Linked DNA regions of Bombyx mori. The protein of the gene in region 1 purifies or fractionates together with the protein of each later gene. This does not show direct contact. Links are inferred from orthologs where the notes say so. Each region holds a gene or a part of one and is shown in the gene's direction. Other genes may lie near its edges.

Region 1 (4,697 bases):
CGTTAATATCACGACGATCCAATACCGAAATCATTGACAATGTATCATAACGGGAAGGATGATTATTGGCTAAAACTATCACAGTGATTTGTGTTTAAAAAAAAAAACGTCCTTGTTTCAAATCTAGTATGAAAGCAGAATATTACACATTCCCAGATTTGAAGCAAATGAATAGCACATTGCAGATGGAATAAATAAATTAAGACGTAACTTTCCAAAAGGCTCGCAAGGGGCGATTTTTAGGAACTTGTCCTTTAGAGAATTAGTATTTGTAATGAAGAAGAAAACATTGTTATCTGTCTCAATCAATGATAAAGTTCGATCACCGCCTACGTTGTTTGTTTTATCTTATATGAACGAAATTTGACTATATCGATATAGAAAATACTAGTGAATTCCGGCCTTGCCAGCTAGCCACTTTTTTCCTACCTAAGCTGATGGTCTTGAGAGACCATATGAGCGGCACCGGGCGAGTAGGTGAGCTCAAACCTGACGTTGTTGCTAACACGAACCCTAGCAAGAGCCGTGCTTCGTAGAATCTACCACCGGATCGGAACTCAATGGGCTGTGTCTGTGGGTTAATTTACTCGCCGAGCCCTTCGTCGCAAGCGACGGGTTCGACGAAAACGATGACCGATGCTTGGGGTACCTATAAGCACCGTTAGTGGATCGGGAGGTTCCGAAATGACGTGTTTTGGGCGACGTTGACTGTGTACCATTCGGTCCGCAGGATCGGGAATGTAGTTACCGGAGGCCACGATGCGACGATTCTCGTGTCGTGCCGCTTTCTCGAAATTTCGCATTGATGCCGACTGTAGATACTTGCTGATGAACTCTAGATCCAGGTCGTCGTGGAGGTCGATGTTCCTGACGAACCATGGAGCTCCGACGGCTATTCTGCAAAAACGGGATTGAATGATTTGAAGGGGTTTCAAGTTAGTGCGGGCCGAGTGAGCGAACACTTCACTTGCATAGGTCATGACGGGGCGTGTGCAAGTTTTTGCTAGCCACAAGACAGCCTCATGGTTGTGCGTCTTAACACATCCATGGGCGGCTGTGACCACATTCCATCAAATGCGTCTCAAGCTTGTTTGATACGATTAGGAATTTCAAAAAGTAAAATATAAAACTTGCTAATTACAAAATTAGTTTAGTTTTAGTTTATGATATATAAAAGGTACATGAGGAATTAAGAGTGTACAATTAAAACTCAAACGATACAGCAAAGATTTTTTTAAATATTAATCTTGTACAACGTGACTCGACTTGCAATGATTATTATGTTTTATGAATAAGCGATTTCACGTTATCTCGTGGAAGGAGGGGAGGCTTAATTGAACTTTTTAAATACAATGTTTTACTTATCACATATTGAATTTGAACTGTGAAAAATGCACAGAAGAACTGATTGCCTCCGATTTTATATATATTTGCATTAGATAGTGAACGAGCTCACTGCCCATGTGTTGTTAAGTGGTTACTGCAGCCTGAATAAAGCTTCATGGATAAAACCATCTTGATTCATGAGGTCGAATTATCAGTTGCCTTGAATAACGGCGGGCCATTTAAACTGAAACGCATTAATTTTTCGTGGTAGACGTAGCCAGGATCATGGTACCTACTCTGAGGGCTCACAATAACCGTTATCACCGGTAAGTAAAGGTAGATAAATTTCGAAGAATAGATAAGTCAAAAGTAAACTTAAGTCAATTCGTAACTTGTAATCGTTTCGTTGAACGTTATGTTAATAGTTGCAAGGTCTCTATTTAAATGCATACAGCGACCTTAAAATAACAACCGTCATGCATATTCTTCATGAACTAAATATTATTGTGAAAATGGTGATGTGTATCTTCATCTTTATGTATCTTGAAAAACAATGCTTCTAAGTCCATAGGCGATGAATATAATACAAAATAATAAACTTACAGAAACATAAATGTTGCAGTCTTAACCAATTTGATTTCGTGATTTTAACTTTTCAAAATAATTTACTCGCTGGCGCAGTAGTCAGACAGTTAGACTGCTGAGTCGGGTTCAATTGCCACACTGGGTAAACATTCGTGTGAAGGAACAGGTTTCTTTACTCTTTTTTCTAGATATGTAATATCTGTAAATGTTTATATTTAAACGTATGTAAGCATGAAGAAAGAGCCTTTAGTAATAAGAACGTGCCACGGCTAATTGAATTATCATAAATCATATTGCCACTCGCGCAAATCTTAAAATAGAGAATCTAAGATGGTAAATTTGTTTTGTGTAAGTCCACGCGCACGTATTATGGACGTTCGATGATGGTTTTGTCAAGTGACAGGTAATAAAACGCGTCAATCTCGTTGCAGGTGCGTTACCGCGAGAGAATAACCATTCTGCGAGGAAATCACGAATCGCGTCAGATTACTCAAGTGTACGGCTTCTACGACGAGTGTCTCCGGAAATACGGCAACGCGTCCGTCTGGAAGCACTTCACCGATCTATTCGATTTCCTGCCCTTGACGGCGCTCGTAGATGGACAGATATTCTGCCTGCACGGTGGACTCAGTCCGTCAATCGACACCCTCGACCACATCAGAGCTCTGGACCGTCTGCAGGAAGTGCCCCACGAAGGACCCATGTGCGATCTCCTCTGGAGTGATCCCGATGACAGGTATGAAAAACAATTAACGCTAAACATACGAAAACGGGTCAAATTACCCATTTTGAACTTTTGCATTGAAAAAGCACGTATCATCTTATAGCTTTTGCACATTTGATTTCATGACTTTTCTCACCAATTAATCTAAAGTTATTAAACTATTTCTTTGTTTTGTTTTGTTTATTTTGAGTAATGCTTGTCGTATACCGTTATCTACTCTCTATGGTAGAAATAGGTATCAGTAAGTGTTGGTATGATTAGTGTTAATGCTATCTTAATAAACAGTTAATGTAAAATTCATAAATTTAATTTGGTCATTTCGTATTAGATGTAATTTAGTATTCAGATCAGTCTTCCGTGACCACGAAAATTCTTAAAGCATTCAAAACGTCGGAAATAATAAAATATAATAAACACGAGATTAAACCATAAAAATTCTTAAAGCATTCAAAACGTCGGAAATAATAAAATGTAATAAACACGAGATTAAACCATAAAAATAGTTTTAATTATGTTTACGACTCGCGAAATCCGAAGTAAACATTATACTTATTTAAAGGTTAGAATAGAATCTACCGAGCAACAATAGTTTTTAAAATACTATAGCTGAAACTAAATGGATACCACTTGTATGCACGTGCTGTGTAGTAGTTAGTTTAGTGTCTCTTGCAATGAATTGCTTTGACAAGTATTTTTTCAATCCCTTTATTCACGAACACCGTACCATCCGGCTTTGGAATGAACTCCCCTCCACGGTGTTTTGCGAGCGCTATGAAATGTCGTTCTTCAAACGAGGCTTGCGGAGAGCACTTAATGGTAGGCAGCGGCTTGGCTCTGCCTCTGGCATTGCTGACGTCCATGAGCGACAGTGACCACTTACCATCAGGTGGGCCGTATGCTCGTCTGCCTACAAAGGCAATAAAAAAAAGGAAAAAAAGAAAAGAATAATAGTGTAGACGTCGCTTTGAGAGAAGTCTTAAACATATAAAAAATTTAATTTCGATTCCAATATTTATTGTTATTTTATAGTTTAACGATACAATTAGTAATTAAATTAACGTCATAAAGTTATTGTTTGTAACACAGAGGTGGATGGGGCATATCTCCCCGTGGAGCCGGCTACACGTTCGGACAGGACATCTCGGAGACGTTCAACCACAGCAACGGGCTCACGCTCGTGTCCCGCGCCCACCAGCTCGTCATGGAGGGGTACAACTGGTGCCACGACAGAAACGTCGTCACTATATTCTCAGCGCCCAACTACTGCTATAGGTACGGCTGCAACTTGTATTTATCATTGGCCTATTTGTGCCGCACAGCATCAAACGTCCAGCTACGTATACTAATGTAGTCAACTACTACTATTCCAATGTAGTCAAGACCGATCGATGTGAGATCTCAATCTTGTGATGTTAACTAGAACTGGCAAGTGGGTTGTGGAACCATCGTGTTGGCAGTCCTCTGCCCATCTGCTCTAATAAAGAAATATGTAGGAACAGAAATATCAACACCATCGCTTAATTGAGAGAAATGAAAGTAAACAGTATTTCTGGCTTGCAGTAGATTGTTACAGTCCGAAATAGTAATAGAATCTGAATCCTGTATTAAAATAATATTCCTTTTTTTTATAAATACATTTTTCCTTGATTATAAAATGACCAAGGAAAATCATTGTTTTCATAAATTTTGTTCAACTAAAGTGGATGTATAACAATCTGATGAGGTTCTTGTTTTTAATGACTGTATTCTGAGATTAATGTGTATGCCATGTATTATATTTTTTTATTGCTTAGGGCTCACGGCCCTTCTGATGTTAACGGGATTTGGAGCCCATGGACATTAAATGTGTAAATATAACCACCAACCTCGAGACACGAGCTCTAAGTCTTAAGTTTTACAGTACATCCAAACTGAGACGCATTACTGCTTCGCAGTAAAAATGTGCTGAGTGGTATACCTACCCTTGCGGGCTCACAAAAACCCTTACCACCATTTTCTCTTTGCTTCTGTAATTGACATTTGTCCTTAGAAAGATGGGAAAAAAACTGCTCCAATTATTTTT
Region 2 (5,430 bases), on another chromosome or scaffold:
TGGTGGTACCTACCCGTGCGGACTCACTCACAAGAAGTCCTACCACCATTAATTACGCAAATTATAATTTTGCGGGTTTTATTTTTAATACACGATGTTATTCCTTCACCGTGGAAGTCAATGTATTTCATTAGAAAAATTGATACCCGCCTGGGATTCGAACACCGGTTCATCGCTCAACACGAATGCACCGGACGTCTCATCCTTTAAGCCACGACGATCCTTTGCTTCTATCTGCCGCCGAGTGTAGAGAATCATGAACTGTGGTGTCGAGAGTAGGGCGGGTCTGGTCAGCGTCTTGCCAGTGACCATTAGCTTCACCAAGCTTCCGTTATCCTTTCTAGCAATTTGGTTACTAAGCTATAAATTAATTTATCCAGTTTTATTTTATAGATTTTGTTGTAGAATTACAACGTCCGCATTAAAAAATAACCTTCCGTCAAGGTAGGCTCAAGGTCCGAATAATTTGTCTTTGTTGTAAAAGAACACCACTGCAACTCGAGCGTTGTATATTGTGCAGTAACGCCTAAGAGTCTACCACTATAAGCAGAGCTATTCTACGAGTAATGTTTCCTGAGTTCCGTAAACTGTGTACTTAACATAACAATGTATGAAACACAAGCGGCATTGGTTCGGACGCAGGCTCTCCGTTCATTGAACTGGTCGGTGGTAAACGAAAACAAAACCGTTTTGCCGACTGTTCTGCTATTTTGGTCTTAACGAAACGCCTGTTATCATTTTGCTTTAGTAATTAGATGATGTTCTTGTAGGTGTTCGTTTATGAGATTATGAACATAGCTACCGAAAACTTATTTTGTCCATTCATTTTTATATTCGTTGTTCTGTGAGCCCAACTAATATCCTGATTGTTGACAATTTGAATGGTAATGGTAATCGCATGTTTTGGTAATTAATAATCTTAGGTGATTTCATGATTTCATTTCATACTTTTCGCAATTGAATCACGTTAGTATATTCAAGTACAGCTTGTCTAATTATTAGCTGTGTTTTAGGATCATGTCATTTGCCGATTGTACAGACAATATAGACGATGATGTTTTGGACCGATTGGTATATTTTACAGAACTCAGTTACAACGTCCAGCCGTTGTGGATGAATCTCAAACTTATCTTTAATTTATGCCTCTATGTCATTCGAAGCGGCATTAATCATACTTGTAATTGAAACTATATTACCCTTGCTTTTTCTAATGGGCTGCAAATTATGTTTGTTTTTCTTTGGGCATTGTTCAATTAAATATGATTTTGGGTTCTTCTAAAACACTAGTACATATTTTTCTTAAGATACCCTCATTGATAGCTACGTCTTGTAGCGCGGTTTTTTAATTTCCTTTTTCTTTCCGTATAAAATATTTTGATGTAGTTAATTAGATATTTACAATACGTTAAGTACTACCTAAGTTAGACAATAATGAGCATTCAGTTGTCATTTTGTCGTCAATAAAATATTATTATAAACACTTAATATAGTTAACTTGCTTTTGAGTGATACCGTACACTTTTATCCACATTTTGAGTGATACCATACACTTTTATCCATCACAGAAAAATAAGAAATGAATCGTCATTCTACGATTTCTCCCATTCCAACAACGGTCGGATGGAAGTATCGGTTAGGTTAGTGGTAAATAGACTTCACGTGGCTACCGAATCGCTACTAAATATTTAGTATCGATTTGCCAAAATATACGCCTGGGTCTCCGTATCTTTTTCGTGATACCCAATACTTGCTATTTACGACCTCAAACTTATATTTGTTGGTGCTAAAAAAAACGAATAAAAAGGTTAGAGTTGTAATGTTGTAGCTAGTTAGAAATTTATTTATAGATAGACCAACACCCCGCATCATCATATAACTAGAGCTCACGTGCCCGTTTCGATATGTCATTATTTCGTGAAATAACTTTGTAGAGATGTGTGAGTTGTGGTGTTTAGGAATTTTGAACATCTGAGAAGTATGGGACTACCTACCTTCCACTAAAATATTTATTTCATTAATCGCTTGCCAGAATCGTTCTGTTGTTTTATGTCAAGTTAATACTTATTTATATAATGTAAAAGACTCATTGAATTTTAGATTTCGTTTTTCTTGCAATATCTAGACATCTGAATACTGTCTAGACCGAGTTTTGAACTCTGAGCACTCGAATGCTGTGAAACCTGAAGTAAATTGCTTTTGGGTTCACTTCACGCAGTCTGGTTTGTGACGTCGACGAGGGCGGACACGCTGTCTCCCATATAAAATGAGCTAATAATAATCTTTACAAAAGATACACATGTTTATTTTCGGCGTAAAGTTTTGTTGTTCTCATCAAGATTGTCTCGCAGTTTGGTTGTTATGTAAACTGTTGAAAAACCCAAAAACTTTAATGGTTCGATGCGTTTTCTAGACGATATTTTCATCGATACAAAATGCTTATCTAATGCACACATGTGTGTCGAATGCCACATGGACCGTAAACCCCATGTCAAACGATAGGCATGTCGTATGTTTACACGACAAATAAACTATCGCATGCATTTGTGAAGAGACGTTCACGAGTTACGGTGCACCAGTGATCTTGAAGATTGTGTAAAGAGCTGAATCTTTGACGCCTTCACCGATATAATTTTGCTGGCGACAATCTCCGTATTTTGAAAATCGCTATGTATGGGATAGTGTGATTTCCGCACCCTCATGGACAGTGAGGGTCGTCTAATATTCTGGAAGAGTGGAGTGTGGGAGGGCGGAGCTCCAACCCTAAACTGCAACACCTGCAAGAAACGTCGCGCGGACAGGATGAGCGCCAACGAGCGACCTCAAGGGTTTGTGATCATTTCAATATTTATTCAATGAAATGTTTGAAATGTCATCACACCATAACTTGATGATGATGAGATCAGGCTTAGTAAGTCTACCAATACTATCTGCTATCACAACTTCTTTTACTACGCTTAACATTTGAATATAGATACGGCTCAATGCAGTATCGCGCACATACTCTGTGATATGATGAGTGCCTCAAAACGTTAAAAAGGGCTTTATAATATGCAGCAATTGTATGAAAATATAGAGTAAAATACTTAAAGTTTGAACTGGAATCGTCTGTAACACGGGAAATAATTTTAGAATGAATCACGTCTCCGTTTCCCCGTAACTAAATAGCTTGTGTCGGTATCGGAAACCTGTTTTTCCTTGTGAAATAATGACTGTTTGAATAGTTAGTTGTATTTTGTTTGTTATCGTAGCATCCGTTTTGATATACGATTTTTTTGTATACTTTGTTTCTGTTTGGTGCTCGTACGATTTTCTCATCGCTGAGTCGCCACTTAGCGGTATATAACTGTAAAGATTCTCACTATTTCTCATAATTGGAGATCTGACATTGTTTAATCGCAATATTAGGTCCGATCGATCGTCTGTTGGTAGACATGATCTCACAACATTTTTCTAACTGTTTGATTACGAGTAGAGTTAATGTATTGTGAAAATTGAATGTGATATTCCTGTCGCGTTCAGTTTGTAAGTCTGTAAGAATCACGTGTTCAACGTATGCTAAGAATTCAATTCATGTTGCATGGCAAAATTAATGACACTAAAACAAACTTTCTGGCGGGAGCGAGAGGAATGAAATTCTGAGAATTGTTTGAATTAGTTCATTTAGTATTCAATCTGGTTTTGCTTAATGAAATAAATTCACAATAATCTTGCATGTGTCCTCTCGGGATCTAACAAGAAGCTCATTGAAGTATCATTGCAATTCCCACTATTTTAGGACGCTAACTTATTTCATCGTGTTTCATTAAAATTCATACCATAATTAATTTGCAATAAACCAACTTCATTTCATTTCGATCATTAAACTTTTCGTAAAACAAAGTACGTAATAAAAAAGAAGAGTTTGTTGAACCCGAGGCTGACAACAATGGCACTCCGGGAAGCCGATTACAATACTGGAGAAATCGGATGAAGACATAAACACAATCTTGTTATTGATATAAATATAAAGAACCAGAATAAAGATAATTCACGCATCTTAACAACCTTTTTATCTGTCGACCATGGTTTTCTTTATATTAGGAGCATTTTTTGGGTATGGTTTGGCCGAGACGAGTTTACAGCCCACTTCGTGCAAAACAGTTCCCCAGACCATCAATACCACAAACCAGTGGGTCAATTGGTCAGATACAACCCGCTCTATAGCCACACGTGTATTTAATTTTGTACCACGATATTATTTTTAAATCGTGAAAGTCATTCATGAACACGTATTGGGTTTATTACTTAGAAATTAGCGCTGGAGAACTGTAGCATCTTAGCAGAAACCTGGATTTGGAATTATTTCGAGAACTTTCGTTGATGTACAAACTCTCATCAATAATTTTGGTTTACCGCGTAAAATGCTTTACGTAAATGACTGCTTGTCATAGTATCAGCATATGGTACGTATTTAAGTTATTAAAGAATGCAGTGTTATCTTTAACGATGAGCTTTTAACAACCGATGTGAGTTGAAACGTAAATGGAGAAAGCGAAAAGAATATTTATTTAAATTAAATTGAATTTTTGAAATACCTGTTACGGTATAAACCAATGATTATTATTTTTTTTTTATTTATTGCTTATATGGCTGGACGAGCTCACAGCCCACCTGGTGTCAAGCGGTTACTGGAGCCCATAGATATCCACAACGTAAATGCGCCACCCACCTTGAGGTATAAGTTCTAAGGTCTTAAGTATAGTTACAACGGCTGCTCCACCCTTCAAACCGAAACGCATTACTGCTTCACGGCAGAATTAGGCAGGGTGGTGGTACTCACCCACGTGGACTCACAAGAGGTCCTACCACCAGTAATTCACAAGTTTCGACAACTCGAATTCTTTGCAATTTTCGGTGTCATGGAAGAGATCGATTATTTTCTGCTTAACCTTCCCTCATCTCGAAAACTAATTATTGATTATATGTACTCATAGTATTCTACTTGAAGCATGAATCATAGCGTACACGTAATGTATAATATTATGTTACATTGTCACAGCTGATCTAATATATTCATAATAGTCATTTCACGGTACCTACCGTCCAGTATATTTATCTTCTAAATACAATTTCATTGATGTATGTCTGTCTGAATCGTTTTGTCTCTTCGGTTTGTTTATAGAATGTTACGTGGAAGTTATTGAGAGTTTCATTAACTACGCAATGTAACTTATGATCTATATTATCTACTTTTTACTGGTGGTAGGGTGTCTTGTGAGTCTGCACGGGCTGGTATCACCACCCTGCCGTGAAGCGGTAATGCGTTTTGGTTTGAAGGATACTGTAAAAAACTGTAAAAAAACTGAGACATAGAACTCATGTCTCAAGATGCTTAGCGACATACCTATACGTTAATGATGTCTATGGGCTCCGGTAACCACGTAACGCCAG
Region 3 (5,236 bases), on another chromosome or scaffold:
TTGCTCTGTCCGTGTCTAGATGAGAAGTAATTGTTTTGACTGAAGAGAAGACAATCATCTGTTTTAAACATTTAAATAAGCATTCCGATATTCGAAAACTGTAACCTTACATGTGTCAAGTGTTGCCTGCCATTACATTCATATTCAAACTCCAACAGTTACGATATAAAGCACTAAGTTGTAAAATTGTAAAACTATGTACGTTAAAAGTCATAGATTAAATTATGAGATTATATTATAGTAATACCCAATAACAGTCGAAGTTCGAGCGATTTCCAAGCGCGAAACATTGATAGTTTCACTTACATTATATTTCAATTATTATTCCCAAAATATTATATTTTAAGCTTGTTAATATGATTGTCAAATGCCGCTGCCGAAAATTCAGTAATTAATCATTAGCTTGGTACTATATTTATGTATAGCGTCGGGAGTTTTGTCGCCTGTTTCTTTTGAATATGTGAACCCTGAAGTTATGTGAATTGTTTTTTTTAGTTAAGTATTGCTATAGGTTAAAATTTTAAATTTAGTTATTATTAAATATTATTATTAACTAGTTGTGACTCATTGACTGCTTAAAAAGTGAAAGTTCCAAATATTGTGTATTTGAATTAAGTCGCAGGACACGTGCACTCGTTTTTTTTTAAAAAAATACCAAATTACCAATGAAATATTGGTCATTTGCCAACATTTTACGAAGAGGTTAATTTCACTTTGTTTCAATATATTTTTGCTACAAAGATTTGAGTCCAACATTTCAATCTTCAGACTTATTTGTAAAAGCGATGTTTTCTTTGCCTGACGAATTAAACAAAGCAAATTAATTAACATAATTTACCGGTAAAATGGGGCGATTAGGGATTGAGAGGCGAATCGGGAAAAAACCGGGAAAATCTTTCGACGCTCAATATAAGTTTTATATTCGTTGCAAAATCTTCCATTTTTTGTAGTTTAATAGTAGAATGTTGAAAGTTCACAAAACAACTCTGAACATGCATGATAATAGCTACTAACTTATAAAAAATCGCGTTTCAAATTAACTTCCTGTGGTGGTAATTATTTTAGTGCTAGAAACTTTGCTCTCTTTGATTTATTTGATAATAATAGAAGACGACTATGATTTATAAACGTTATTTAGTGTTTGAACCAGCATATATATTAAAGGTAAGTCTCAGTTGTTATTGGTTTTAATGTATTTGATTAAATAAAAATACATGTAAAAATCTGTTGTTTTTGGGGATATTGGGGACGTCTTAGGTACAAATAACAACGAAAAAGAGGTCAATTGGGATGAGAATACGTGAAATGGAAACGACCTAAGTATAAATAGGTACAGGTTTGTAGGGTTGTCTATGTAGATATAACAATATTTTTTAAATTTGTTGGTAAAAATCTGGTTTATTCGAAGCGAAATTGGGAATAAGTCTTTAGTTGAAATAGATAAGCAATTTAATATAAGTAAGTCGATTTTGCAGAGACATGTAACAAGATCAATGAAATCTCAAGGTGGACAAAAATGTCTAAGTAATACATAATAAAATATTTAATATTTGTTCGGAGTAGGGGTATTCATCTGATTAATCCATGGAATAACCGACACACCTAATCTCTTAACCCAGATAGAAATATCAGCACTGTCGATTGCACCTATAATTGAGGTGATGTCTGCCATGTACTTTTGTCAGTTTTTCAATTTTTTTTATTGATGATCACTTTGTTGGTGCAACTAAATAAATAAATTAATTAAAACTCTATATAAAAATAAAAGTAGTGCCAACCCTAGCAAATTTCTCATTTCGTCCCAATTAACCGCAATTTTCGGGTAAATAGGGATTACACCTATTTTTGCATTTTTTGCTTAAACTGGAACGCTAGTTGCATAATTTTCAATTAGACAACAAAGATGCCCCCAAGACTCAATCATTTTGATCCTGATATAGCATTATATACATCAACAACTACCTTAAAATTGCTCATAAAGTTGGAATTTGTCCCTAATCGCCCCATTTTACGGTACTGTTTCCCACTGTCACGTGTCACTGTTGTCAGACGTCAGTGTCAGTATCAGATTGTGACAATTGTTGATTGTTTTAGTGCCGATTTTATTTGGTAAAGAAAACTAAAATAAACCGGAATGGCTGAAGTTGATACAGAGCAAGATATATTAGAAGATTCCTTGAGCAATATATTCGATCAAGGAATGAAATTGTATACAACTGTAGAAACAGTCAAAGAACCTATGAATAGCGACAGTGTTCAGGTAGGTTAGAGCTGTTTATATTTAACCGACTACATTATATTTATTGTTGTAATGAAATTTTGTGATATATATTATATCACAAATATATTTATAATAAATTCATAATGACTGGATATACTCAAAGATCGTACAATGCTCTCCGTGTTCAATACAATAACGCGTTTAGGGTGCTGGTGGTGCTGCCCCGCTTTTGTAGCGCATCCGGGATGTTTGCAGACGCGCACATAGATTGTTTTTACGCTACCATGCGTAAGAGGTGTGCATCTCTGGTAAACAGAGTGAGGGCCAGCTCCAACAGTATCCTGAGCATGATCGCAAGCAGGCTGGACTGTATATACATGGGTCGCTGTGGTGCCATCTCCCATGGGATGTTACCACAGTAATTCATTGTGATGTAAATATAACTACTAACATAGGTCTAAGTCTTATTAACAATTTATATGAGTCATGGATACTTGAAATAAAAACATTATTATTATTATAATAAATAATATATTCATATTTCAATTACTACTACAATAAAAATAAAATAAAAATATGAATGGAAACTATTAAATGTAAATTTAGAAATGCTTTAAATATTATCACAAATAACAGGTAACCATAAAAACTGCAATATCCAAGTTCGAGAAGGCCACGAAACTAGTGTCACTTTCTGGAATGTTCAGTAAAAATGAAAAGTTGGAAGAGCTGCCTACAGAAACATTAAAGTACATGCTATTACCTGCATTACTTGGCACCCTAACGTTGAAAATTTGCAGACCGTCCAGAAAAGATATTATCGAAGTAGCGGAAATATATTTCAAGTAATCCAATTTATATTCTTTAATACCATAAGCTTAGGTTCATCAATCTGGTACACATTGCTTATTTTCATTATGTCTGATGCTGGAAAACAATCTAGGGCTCTCTACCACCATAACAGAATTAGCTAAATGTTTTTGATTGGCATCTATTACGAATTAGCTTATAGATATTAGGCTTATAGCTGATATAAGCCTACTGAGTTTTTCCCAGTTTATTTTGAGGCTAGGGTTTACATGTTGTGATATTCAATTGAAGATTTAAATGTTATGATCCTGTTTATCTCTGAAATCATGTTTTCAGTTTGAACGGTAGATAGGAGATTTGCCACTAATATTATAGCTTAATTGCAAGTCTCAAGATTTTTAGTGCTTTCATTTCCTAGTGTTGCCAGTAGGTTCCAGTTACTATTTAATTATAGGTCTGCTTTGTTTGCTCATTTATCTAATGCTGGTTAACAAATAATATTAACATCAATGAATGATGCAGCCTTGGAGTAGTGTATTCTTATATTACATATTAACTAATTGGGCAGTAAGATTGCAGTGGCATTTGAGTAAAACAAGCATTTAAAAGATGCAATAAAAGCATGTAAAAGATCAGAATTTTGTCTGCTGATATTATTTTTAGTAAATTACTGTTTCGTTCACAGAGATTTTCTTCAAAGATGCAAAGACTATGGGGTCACAGACGTGGAGATCCCACAATTAAGTGATAGCAACAGTTCCTCATCTAGACCACAGAGCCAGCAAGATATAATAGCTGCAATGGTAATATTATTGTCCTTTATACTTATGAAATGAAAGGTCAGATTTTTAAGCAAGTTAGTTCAAAGTTGGTTATTTAAAAAAATCTGTCATCGGGATCTTGTCAAGACTTCCAATAAATGTAGTAAATAGAATTCAGTATTTTTGGCATATTTTCTTTAGTTGGTGATATCATTAAATTCCAACTTCAACTACATTGTAAATAACTTTGCAATCATTGGACTTATGTGTATGTATTCCAGTTTGTAGATCCATCTATCCACAATCCATCATCACATCCACAATCCATCATCACATCCACAGTTATCTAGTTATCATATTGTTTCAAGTGAAGGCAGGTGTGATTATATAATAAATAAAGTATGTAAAAAATATTCTGATTGTCCTGATAGTAATTATCAAACTGATGAGTACAGCAGTACATACGAGTCATGTGCCAGCAAGTGTTATCTTTAATTACTTTGTAAAGTAAATGTAATTTTTTATTTCAGGTTCAAAGTAGAGAAACTAAAATAAAACGATACAAAGAAGCAAAAGAGTTAAAAGAGAAACTCGGTACATTGTCAAAAGCTATGTCATCACCCATTGTTGATGACGAAGTTAAAAGAGAGTATTTTCTGACGATGTTACATAGCTACGTCAATGAGGTCTTGGATGAACTTAGCAGTATTGAACGGGAGAAACCTATACTGGAAATGATTAGTTGTTCTGGTGAAGGTAAAATTTTTTTTTTTGTGAGAAAAGGCATAATTTACAATTGTACAATATTATATTGTAATATATTAGTAGTACTGATTTGAAGTCGTCGTGGCCTAACGGATAAGACGTCCGGTGCATTCGTGTTGAGCGATGCACCAGTGTTCGAATCTCAGGCGGGTACCATTTTTCTAATGAAATACGTACTCAGCAAATGTTCACGATTGATTTCCACGGTGAAGGAATAGCATCGTGTAATAAAAATGAAACCCGCAAAATTATAATTTGTGTAATTACTGGTGGTAGGACCTCTTGTGAGTCCGCGCGGGTGGGTACCACCACCCTGCCTATTTCTGCTGTGAAGCAGTAATGCGTTTCGGTTTGAAGGGTGGGGCAGCCGTTGTAACTATACGTGAGACCTTAGAACTTATATCACAAGGTAGGTAACGCACTTACGTTGTGGATGTCTATGGGCTCCAGTAAGCAATAAAAAAAAAAAACATATATGTATTTACCATGCGCATGCCGAGTCCATTGTGTTCCTGAGATAGGAATTTGAAGAATTCCAATGGCATTGCGATCTTAGTGTAGGTTTAAGTCGCCTCTATCAATTCGCATTAAATTCAACTCCATTTCTCTGTCTGCCTAGCCAAATTTAATATCAGTGCAGCTGTTAGATCAAGTATGGAGCTTACAGAAGTTCTTGACA

The links.
Region 2: the proteins of serine/threonine-protein phosphatase 2A catalytic subunit beta isoform (region 1) and HPO purify together in Drosophila melanogaster (affinity purification with western blotting; 3 studies listed by BioGRID, with this or other methods). This does not show direct contact. The link is inferred for Bombyx mori from reciprocal best matches to the Drosophila melanogaster genes mts and hpo.
Region 3: the proteins of serine/threonine-protein phosphatase 2A catalytic subunit beta isoform (region 1) and immunoglobulin-binding protein 1 purify together in Drosophila melanogaster (affinity purification with western blotting; 3 studies listed by BioGRID, with this or other methods). This does not show direct contact. The link is inferred for Bombyx mori from reciprocal best matches to the Drosophila melanogaster genes mts and Tap42.

Annotation. Positions count from the first base shown.
Region 1 is NC_085109.1:3,330,696-3,335,392, reverse strand, and holds part of serine/threonine-protein phosphatase 2A catalytic subunit beta isoform, read left to right. Parts: intron 1-2,342; coding exon 2,343-2,647; intron 2,648-3,721; coding exon 3,722-3,907; intron 3,908-4,697.
Region 2 is NC_085111.1:708,795-714,224, forward strand, and holds the start of HPO (serine-threonine kinase-like protein), read left to right. Parts: upstream 1-2,218; 5' UTR 2,219-2,697; coding exon 2,698-2,825; intron 2,826-5,430. UniProt on the Drosophila melanogaster protein: Plays a key role in the Hippo/SWH (Sav/Wts/Hpo) signaling pathway, a signaling pathway that plays a pivotal role in organ size control and tumor suppression by restricting proliferation and promoting apoptosis.
Region 3 is NC_085111.1:1,744,780-1,750,015, reverse strand, and holds the start of immunoglobulin-binding protein 1, read left to right. Parts: upstream 1-2,024; 5' UTR 2,025-2,134; coding exon 2,135-2,260; intron 2,261-2,857; coding exon 2,858-3,066; intron 3,067-3,716; coding exon 3,717-3,834; intron 3,835-4,322; coding exon 4,323-4,548; intron 4,549-5,236.